3 linked regions of the Saccharomyces cerevisiae S288C genome follow. The gene in region 3 interacts genetically with the main gene of each other region. Each region holds a gene or a part of one and is shown on either strand. Other genes may lie near its edges.

Region 1 (3,375 bases), on a different chromosome or scaffold from region 3:
ATGGAATAGCCGCTGACTGGGTGGTACGTACTCGTGCATGATATTATTAACCATGAGTTGTAGCTGTTTTGTTATATCCAAAGAATTTGGCTAACGTATCCTTGTACGCGTGATTTATTTATATATACGTGCAGCACAATATATATATATATATATATGTATGCGTGCGCTTGGTTATGGCTCAGTAAAGCGAAAGTAACGGAATAAGCGAGGGAAGGGGGATCTAGCGATGAGGGAATGGCAGTAACAGACTGTTCCCTTACAATACACTCTTGCTAAATTACATCAAGGATAATATACTATTTTAAAACAAAAACCAGCCATTTCCCTAAGGACGCGAAACTTTTGTGACGCGTTTCAAATAAAAAAGAATACTGCAAAACGCAGCACAATAATTAGATAAAACTAGTGGCATATGTCACTAATTAACTATATAGTCACTAATACTGTATATATAGCCGACACAGGCTACACAAAACACAAACGCAAAGGAATTAGGAATGTAGGTAGGTACACCGAGGCTAACTGACACTTCTGGGTCATGGACAAGCTTGTTTTTAGCACATCGTAAGGAATGTAACCACGCTTGAAAATAACAACGATACATATCAAGGTAGTTAGAGAGGCATTCCAGCCATAGATACGCAACCACTTTTTCAATCTGCTATTTGTATTAACTTGTAATTCGCTTGAATTCCAGAATTTATTGACGAAATAGACGAAAAGGGGTAGTTGCAGAACTAGCTCAAGGACTACAAACCAGTATAGCCATTCTGGTTTCTCTGATAGCAGGAAATCGTGTTGCTTTGCGATGTGATCACTAACAACCTTTTGCGCAATCCCTAGTTGCCATTTAGCGGGAATAACCACTGATGAGTCGATGAATATGGTGATGGGAATGTGAACGATGAAGTACCACAAGTAGAATTGTTGCTCACGATGTCCTAGCTTCATTATCTCCGGTCGCTTTTCTCTATATGTTTTCACGTGAGTGGCTCGTTTCTCGTACTTATTTGCTGCGGTTGTTCCTTTTATACCTACTAATTCGTATCCTGTACAAAAGCCGATAATTCTTTACTATGTTTTCAAAGGTTTTTTTTTTTTAAACGATATGCAAATTATTAATTCTTTTGAATATTTCTATGTAATCTAAACCACTTTACAATATACTATATGGAATACGTGGCGAAGAAAATTCCATTATCTCACCTCCGCTTCTTTCTCATCTCTTTCATTTTCTTGTAATGTGCCTTCCTACCGCTCGTAGATTTCTCCTGAATTTCGTTGTATTTACGCTTGAAATACTTATTAGAAGCTTCATCACCCATGAGTGTTTCCAAAATAGTCGACTTTCTTTCCTTCCTGTTCATACGACTACTATAAAACTCACTCTTGTCTTCAATTATGGTACCAATAGCAAACCTCTCTGGCACCTCCCAACGTTGCTTCTTATAATGTCTCTTTGGATCAAGAGCAGCTCTATGTTTAATCAGCAATAAATCTCGTTGAACTTCACGACGCATGTTATCATCTGGCTTTGGTAAGGTAAACCAGTCATTATCGTTTTTGTCGCTCTTGTTGGGTTTTCTTTTATCTTCTGTCTCCACACTAGGCAAGACGTTCTTCTTCTTCTTCTTGTTTGCTAAAGCATCAAATCCGGTTTCTAACTTAGGAAGCTTCTTAAGATTAGTTTCGATCTCTTGAAATTTACTTTCAATTTCTACTTCATCATCATTATTGCCTATCTGCAAAACATCCTCTTGTTGAAGAGAAACTTGTTCCTTCGCTGAATTTTTTACTTCTAGACTGGCACTAGCATCTCTTAGTGCTCCAAATAAGTCTTCCACACTTTGATCCATGTTTAACAGCTCCTTTCTCACGTCCTCTTTAATTGGAAAACTTGACGTCTCATCGCATTTTCTATTTCTTTTCTATCTTCTGTTTTAATATGCTGAAAAATTTTTAGGCCGGCACTAACCACGAATTATGATAAAAGAGAAGGATGTTTAGAGAAAAGGTTTTCGTGTGAAAGGGGGAATTGCGTTGTTAACTGACATAGCTGTCTTCAATGGAATCATAACAATGAAGTTCGAAGACCTCTTGGCAACCAATAAACAGGTGCAGTTTGCTCATGCAGCTACTCAACATTACAAAAGTGTCAAAACTCCAGATTTCTTGGAGAAAGACCCACATCACAAAAAATTTCATAACGCAGATGGCTTGAATCAACAAGGTTCTTCGACCCCATCTACAGCTACCGATGCAAATGCCGCCTCAACTGCTTCCACTCACACAAACACCACGACATTCAAAAGACACATTGTTGCCGTGGATGACATATCGAAAATGAACTATGAAATGATAAAGAATTCTCCAGGGAATGTAATAACGAACGCTAACCAAGATGAGATAGATATAAGCACCCTCAAGACAAGGTTGTACAAGGACAATCTTTACGCTATGAATGACAACTTTTTACAAGCTGTCAATGACCAAATTGTAACATTAAATGCAGCGGAGCAGGACCAAGAAACTGAGGACCCTGACTTATCAGATGATGAAAAAATTGATATACTGACCAAAATCCAAGAGAACTTGCTTGAAGAGTACCAAAAACTTTCACAGAAAGAAAGAAAGTGGTTTATATTGAAAGAACTACTGTTGGATGCAAATGTAGAACTCGATTTGTTCAGTAATCGTGGCAGGAAGGCAAGCCATCCAATCGCATTCGGAGCAGTAGCCATACCAACGAACGTCAATGCGAATTCACTAGCATTTAACAGAACCAAGAGAAGAAAAATTAATAAGAACGGCCTTTTGGAAAACATTCTTTAAGCCAAGATTAACATAAGACAAGTTTGCAAAATCCCCAACTTCACTTCCATATGCATATTCATTTAGGTATATATCGTATATTTGAGAAAAATTCATATATGAAACGTTATTAAAACATGAAAAATAGAATGTGTTATCGGGCTTAACTATATTCTGCCATTCAATGCGTGTTTCTTGACCATCTCTCGCACTACCTCTGACGGTACATAGAATGGGTTATGCTTCTTTGTCTTTTTCGTGTGCTCATATTGTCTTTGGTTCTCGAACTCAACCTCCTGGGTTAAATTTATATTAAAGAACAAGAAATCCTCTATGCTATCATTATTATCTTGAGATTCCATCTCAAATAGTTCAGAAAATCCGGTGTTCCCGAGGTCATCGTATTGCAATTTTTGTTTGTCTACCTCATTACTCAAATTGCTATTGGAGGTGCTTTTGATAGCATCACTACATTTATTATGAAGCATATCCATTAACTCCGTCCTGAGTTGTTCCGACGTGTGTCAACAAAAGGATTTACTAAGAATGTTGTATTTTGAG
Region 2 (2,951 bases), on a different chromosome or scaffold from region 3:
GGAACAATGGCAAGTTGAAGACTTTTTGTTGTTCAGGCAATCTTTGTTCAAATGGAGCTGCTCTAGTAGACATTTTTTCGTCGATAGAGGCAACTCTGGCCTTAACGGCAGCATCGTGGATAAACTTGGATTTACCTCTGGATTCAACAGATTTAGCGTTAGCTTCTAGGGCAGCAGCAACGTCTTGACCGGAAACGTTCTTGGTGATCACAACAACTTCATCCAATTTTTGAGTGGCGAAAGAGAAAAAGCCCTTGATTTCAGCGTCCAACTTGGTTTCGTTGTTCAAATCAACTGGTGTGTGCAATAGAGAAGAAGAAGTGGCAACAACGACTCTGTCAGCACCCAACTTTTCAATAGCCTTGTTAACGATAGCGGAAGACTTCTTGAAATCATTCTTCCAAATGTTTCTACCATCAACAATACCAACGGACAAGGTTTGTTTGTTACCAATGGCGGCAACGACTTCATCAAATTGTTCTGGAGCTCTAACAAAGTCAACGTGTAAGGCAGCAACTGGCAAGCCCTTGATGGCGTCTAAGTTAGGGACAACGGTACCGAAGTAAGTAGCCAAAGTAATCTTTGGTAGATTGCTTTGTTCACCGAAGTAAGTGTAAGCCTTCTTAATGGCGGCTTGGGCGTTGGCAGGCAAGTCCAAAACTAAGACAGGTTCGTCAATTTGAACTTCAGTGGCACCAGCAGAAGCCAATTTAGATAGGATTTCAGTGTATAGAGGCAACAATTGTTCCAATAGGGACAATGGTTCCAAATCTAGAGAATCCTTGTCAGCCTTACCCAAGAATAAGTAAGAAACTGGACCCAACAAGACAGGTCTAGTATGAATACCTAACTCCTTGGCTTCCAAAAATTCGTCAACTGGCTTTTGGCCGTTCAACTTAAATTGAGTGGTCTTGGAGAAAGTTGGTCTAACGTAATGGTAGTTAGAGTCGAACCATTTAACCATTTCCAAAGCAGTGACGTCGACAGCCTTTTCAGTTTCAGTGGCCTTTCTTTGTAAACCTCTACCCATAGCAAACAAAGTGTCGATTGGAGATAGATCGTACTTAGTGTAACGGTCTGGAATGACATTGAACAACAAAGACAAATCCAAAACTTGGTCGTAAAAGGAGAAGTCATTGGATGGGATGATATCAACACCAGCCTCCTTTTGCAACTTCCAGTTTTGAGTTCTCAAATCCTTACCGACCTTGAATAATTCATCGACAGTGATTTTACCGTTCCAGTAACCTTCAGTGGCCTTCTTTAATTCTCTGTTTGGACCGATTCTTGGGAACCCTAAGACAGCAGATTGAACCATTTTTGATATGTACTTTGAAATTATATTGGTATTTTGTTTCTTAGAGTGTTGTCAATGCTCTTAGATGCTTGCTTTTTTATGATAAAGGAAGAGTTTAACAAAAATATTGAATACGTAAAAGAGAAACTAATGCTAGTAAAGATGGAAATATCTATCACTTATATAGAATTTTTTTTTCTTTCCTTTTTTTCTTTCGCAGTTGGGAAAACTAGCTAGCTTCCCTTAAATTAGTGCATCTATCGCATTTGTTCCATATTCACATTCACAGTTCTCAATTGAGCAGAACGAGCTATGACTACCACAGTTTTGCGACCGGGAGATAGAGCGAAAGAGCTGCCATGACTGCGATGACTCTAGCGAAAAATATTGGCCTTTTGCACGTTCGCGACTAAACGAGTTCGATAGTAGTCCCGTTTCTGGTTTTTTCCCTTTACCGGCCCACATTTTTTCACCTGACTCCGGTCCTGACGTACGACTCTGTTTGTAAGTCACGTGAAATATTTCCTGTGGCTTTTACTAGTAATGTGCACGTGATGTGGCGTGATGGTCCTTTACCCGGAGTGCGGGACCCTGGTTCATGAAAAATTGTGTGAAATCAACTGCATTTTTGGAAGCGAAAAAGATGATGAACCTGAGTTGAATGGCTGTGGGAAACCAATACTTGACTGATTATAAAACAAGAAAAAAATGCCTAGTAAAGATCCAGAGAGCGTTATAGACAAAGAAATACGGAAGATATCAGCAAGAAATGATGAGCTTATCAAACAGGATGGGACTCTAAAAAGGGAATACACTACATTATTGAGAAAAGTATCGAGCGTGATAACGGTACTGAACAGTATTGATGATGCAGATACTGGTTCTGCTGAAACGGAACTCCCACGCTTAATATCTCAAGCAACAGTAGAGAAAGTACCCGAATTGAAGTGGTACAATGATCAGATATCACTGATTACAGAAAAGTTGGAGGACGATGAAGATATTGAGGTTCCCGAGGAGCTAATGGATGCTTATACTCTGTACAAGGAAACCCCATTATTATATAATGATACGCACACACCATAACGGTTTTGTATGCTGTGGTGTAGGGAAGTGCCTGGGTCTATGGAATATTGTGACTATATACATTTATACATGCGGCCCTTTTTTGCTCTAACGTGTAAAATTAGCCGGCCTTTTGTCCCTTTTGTTGTCGTGCCTGATGACATTTTCAAGCGCTCTATTGTTAATAAATAGTCCGCAAAGAAACTTCCTAACATGTGGCTTAAACCGATACTTCGACATCATATTAAATACTTTGAAGAACATTTTCTCGTTTTCAAAAAGCCTTGGACCGTATTTATTGTTTATTTCTGTAATCTCCTTCACTGCGTGATTTGAAAGGATATGATTGCCTAGCTGACTTACTATATGTAGTACCTTGCTCTCGATGGAGTCATCGTCATTGCGGTATTGTGTAACATAGGGAGAAGAAAGGCCTTCGTTTGCGAAAAGACTACTATTTTCACCTGAAACAGTGATAGTTTGACTTGTGATATCGTTGTCGTATTTATTAGTAATGATTTTTTCATTTAATGGATTCTCTGCGGTATCTTTCTCTTTGAGTAGTTTGTCCAAATCAAATTCGATGGGT
Region 3 (2,817 bases):
AAAGGGGTGGCAACTGATGGAAAGACTTTTTACACAAAGATTGACAGCATTACTGACAAATTTCTAATGAACCAGACGCGCCGCTTCTTTTAGTGTCGTTTGGTAACCGCTTTTTCTTAAGCTGGCAGAGACCGCCAAAAATAAGAGAGTCGCTTGTAGTGGGACAAATAATGAACAGAGAGGCTTTTTGATACCAGTATCGTTGAGTTGGGAATGAAATGAAATATAACGATGCAATCGTCGCCATTCCTGTCAGAATATAATCGACGGTCATGTTATATAATTGTTTTATAAACGCCCACTTCTTGGCTGTATCTTTTATAATGTCCTTTTTTCCTGAAGAGGGTTTCCATCTAATTTTCTTTTACAGTCTGTAGCCTTACTTCTGGCCCTTTAACTAAATACATTTGATTTATATTGCATATTTACTCATACAATTGTATATTTGTTGTTCTTTTTTGGTCGGCTACCAGATTTAGTACTTAATGTAACCAATTTGTGAATTTCATAAATGACGTGCCAAACTAGAAAGTGTGGGGCCCTGAGAACAACTTTAAGCTGTTGACATTACCTTATGAGTCCAGTCCATCCTCTCCTTCTTTTTCAAGTTGTTTTACTTCAGGATCCTCATCTGCTGGTTCTTTTTTCCTTGTAGCTTTGTCATCTGATCCTTTAACGTCAGATGCAGTAAACTCGCTTCCCCTTTGACGTTCTTCTCTTACGTCTCTTCTTATCCAGCCGGTGAAATTTACCTTATAACCACTGAAGCTCTTGATCTCTATGGCTTTATTCTTGTAATCCCACGGAAGTACAGGTTTGCTATTATCTCTCGAATTGGCAGAGGGAGGGCTTGTATCCTCTATTTTAGGGTTATTGGCTAGTTGTTCTTGCGATTCTGATAAAACACTACTTTCTTGGGACATACCACAATTACTCGAGAAATTGGATTTATCTTCCGGCCAATATAAGTAAAGAATGTGTTGGCATTATAGTACATTTTGTTGATATCTTTAAAATTACTTGGATTATGAGAATGATTACCCGTCAACTGCTTGGTAAAGTTTTAACGTTCAAGAAAAGCTCTAGACGGCGTAACGCACCTTTTGTTATGAGCGTTAGAAAAATTAGTGACTAAGAGGATGAGATGATAAAATGCATATGATGTTGAATATGGAAAATAAAATGTTATATTCTTACTCAACGTAACCTGCCATTTGTAGGAGTTAAAAATTATGTAGTAGACTTAAATCTCTCCTTATTGTCCTAAATACTTGTAATTACATACACATATATATGTATAAATATTCGGGAAATTTTACAACTGTTGAGATTTCATAAAGATGATAATTTCAGATACAAAGTGTTTCTATATGCCGAAATTTCCGCTTCTAATGTTATCATATAGCTTCTTTCTCTCCTGTCTTTTGTTAATATTTCCATGCAGTTTGTTTCCCTGAGGAGCTTCTGGTAGGTAAAATTCACTATTTACAGCCCCCATAGGCTGAGCGGGTACGGAATAGGCATTCTGCTGCATGCCTTGGGGAAAACTACGCCTGTTAGCACCAGCTGTGTAACGTATCGGCTCCTGAGCTGGTACCATATGGGACATCATTGGAGGTGCTCGCATAGGTGGAGGTCCATTGTAGTATTCCGCAGGTACGACAGGTTGAGCTTGCGGTGAATACCTATTAACGTGCTGCTGTGGATATTGATTGGGGCGAACTCCCTTTGGTACCATTTGCGGCGGATTATTGCTCCACTTTCCATCTAACATATGAGCATTGCCTGCCCGGCTGTTCCCATAAGCATTTGTTGTGTTATTATGATACGGCGGCTGAGTTACCTTGTAAGTATTTACAGGGTGCTGGTGGTTAGGGTTCATTCGTTCCATTTGTTGATATAATGGAACGTTAGATGGAAGATTGGGCACACCTTGTTTTACTGGCACCATATGTTGGGGAATAGGTGAAGCATCTGCCCGTTGATTTCTGGACTTTAGTTCTGGGGGCACAATATTGTTTTGGAAGGGACGTTGTTTTTGTTGGTGAGATGGATAATTATGCTGGTCCCGATATGTCATATGTGGTTGATTTGCTAAAACGTGAGCAGGATCATTATACCCAACGGGTACATTAATCGTGTTCTGCTTGAATCCAGCCGAATTGGTGGAGAATTGTGGAGACCTCGCAGGTGAATATGCAGAAGGTGGAACTGGTGCACTTGCAGGCGACATTTCATTTCTACGATCGTTCTGATAGTATTTTTGCTGAACAGGAGATACACAGTCTCCAGGCGCATTTTTATATGGTTTTGGTGTTACCTGTTGAGATGGACTGACTGCACCTTGTAAGACGTTCAGGCGAGACTCATTCGTAAATGCCTTTTTCGAATCCGAATTTGAATAAGTGGGTTGACTAGGCATTCTTGATGCCGGCAAGTTGTTGATATTTGGAGAATAATATGATGATGAATCGTCGTTGACTTTGGATTCCTCAGAAATCTTTCTAGGTTCCGCTAATTTCCTATCAGCGGTGTATTTGGAACTATCAGCGCAAGAATCATTTGTATTTGTACTTAGCTTCAATGAGTGAACGGCGCTTGAATGGCTGCTTTGTAAGTCATCGTCAGTTATATTGGATGGCTTATATTGATCAAACTTTGTCAATGATTCGAAAGTCTCTGCCTCAGTTATGGAGATTTTTACATCGTCTGGCTCATTAATCATCATTTCTTCAACCATACCGTTTAATTCTTCAATAGCTGAGTCGGTAGCTCTTTTCTGGGAATTTTTAAGTTTGTCACTGTCGTCATCATCGT

The links.
Region 1: mutations in IES4 (region 3) and IES3 together harm fitness more than expected from each alone (negative genetic interaction), as found in Saccharomyces cerevisiae (3 studies listed by BioGRID).
Region 2: mutations in IES4 (region 3) and IES5 together harm fitness more than expected from each alone (negative genetic interaction), as found in Saccharomyces cerevisiae (4 studies listed by BioGRID).

Annotation. Positions count from the first base shown.
Region 1 is NC_001144.5:245,119-248,493, forward strand, and holds IES3 (Ies3p), read left to right. Parts: upstream 1-2,082; coding exon 2,083-2,835; downstream 2,836-3,375. Other genes in the region: MLO50 (Mlo50p), read right to left, coding at 1-54; EMA19 (Ema19p), read right to left, coding at 469-954; FCF2 (Fcf2p), read right to left, coding at 1,206-1,859; NRS1 (Nrs1p), read right to left, coding at 2,982-3,308. UniProt on the Saccharomyces cerevisiae protein: Probably involved in transcription regulation via its interaction with the INO80 complex, a chromatin-remodeling complex.
Region 2 is NC_001137.3:340,850-343,800, forward strand, and holds IES5 (Ies5p), read left to right. Parts: upstream 1-2,005; coding exon 2,006-2,383; downstream 2,384-2,951. Other genes in the region: MET6 (5-methyltetrahydropteroyltriglutamate-homocysteine S-methyltransferase), read right to left, coding at 1-1,318; TORC2 complex subunit TSC11, read right to left, coding at 2,471-2,951.
Region 3 is NC_001147.6:687,730-690,546, reverse strand, and holds IES4 (Ies4p), read right to left. Parts: upstream 924-2,817; coding exon 573-923; downstream 1-572. Other genes in the region: MSB1 (Msb1p), read right to left, coding at 1,367-2,817.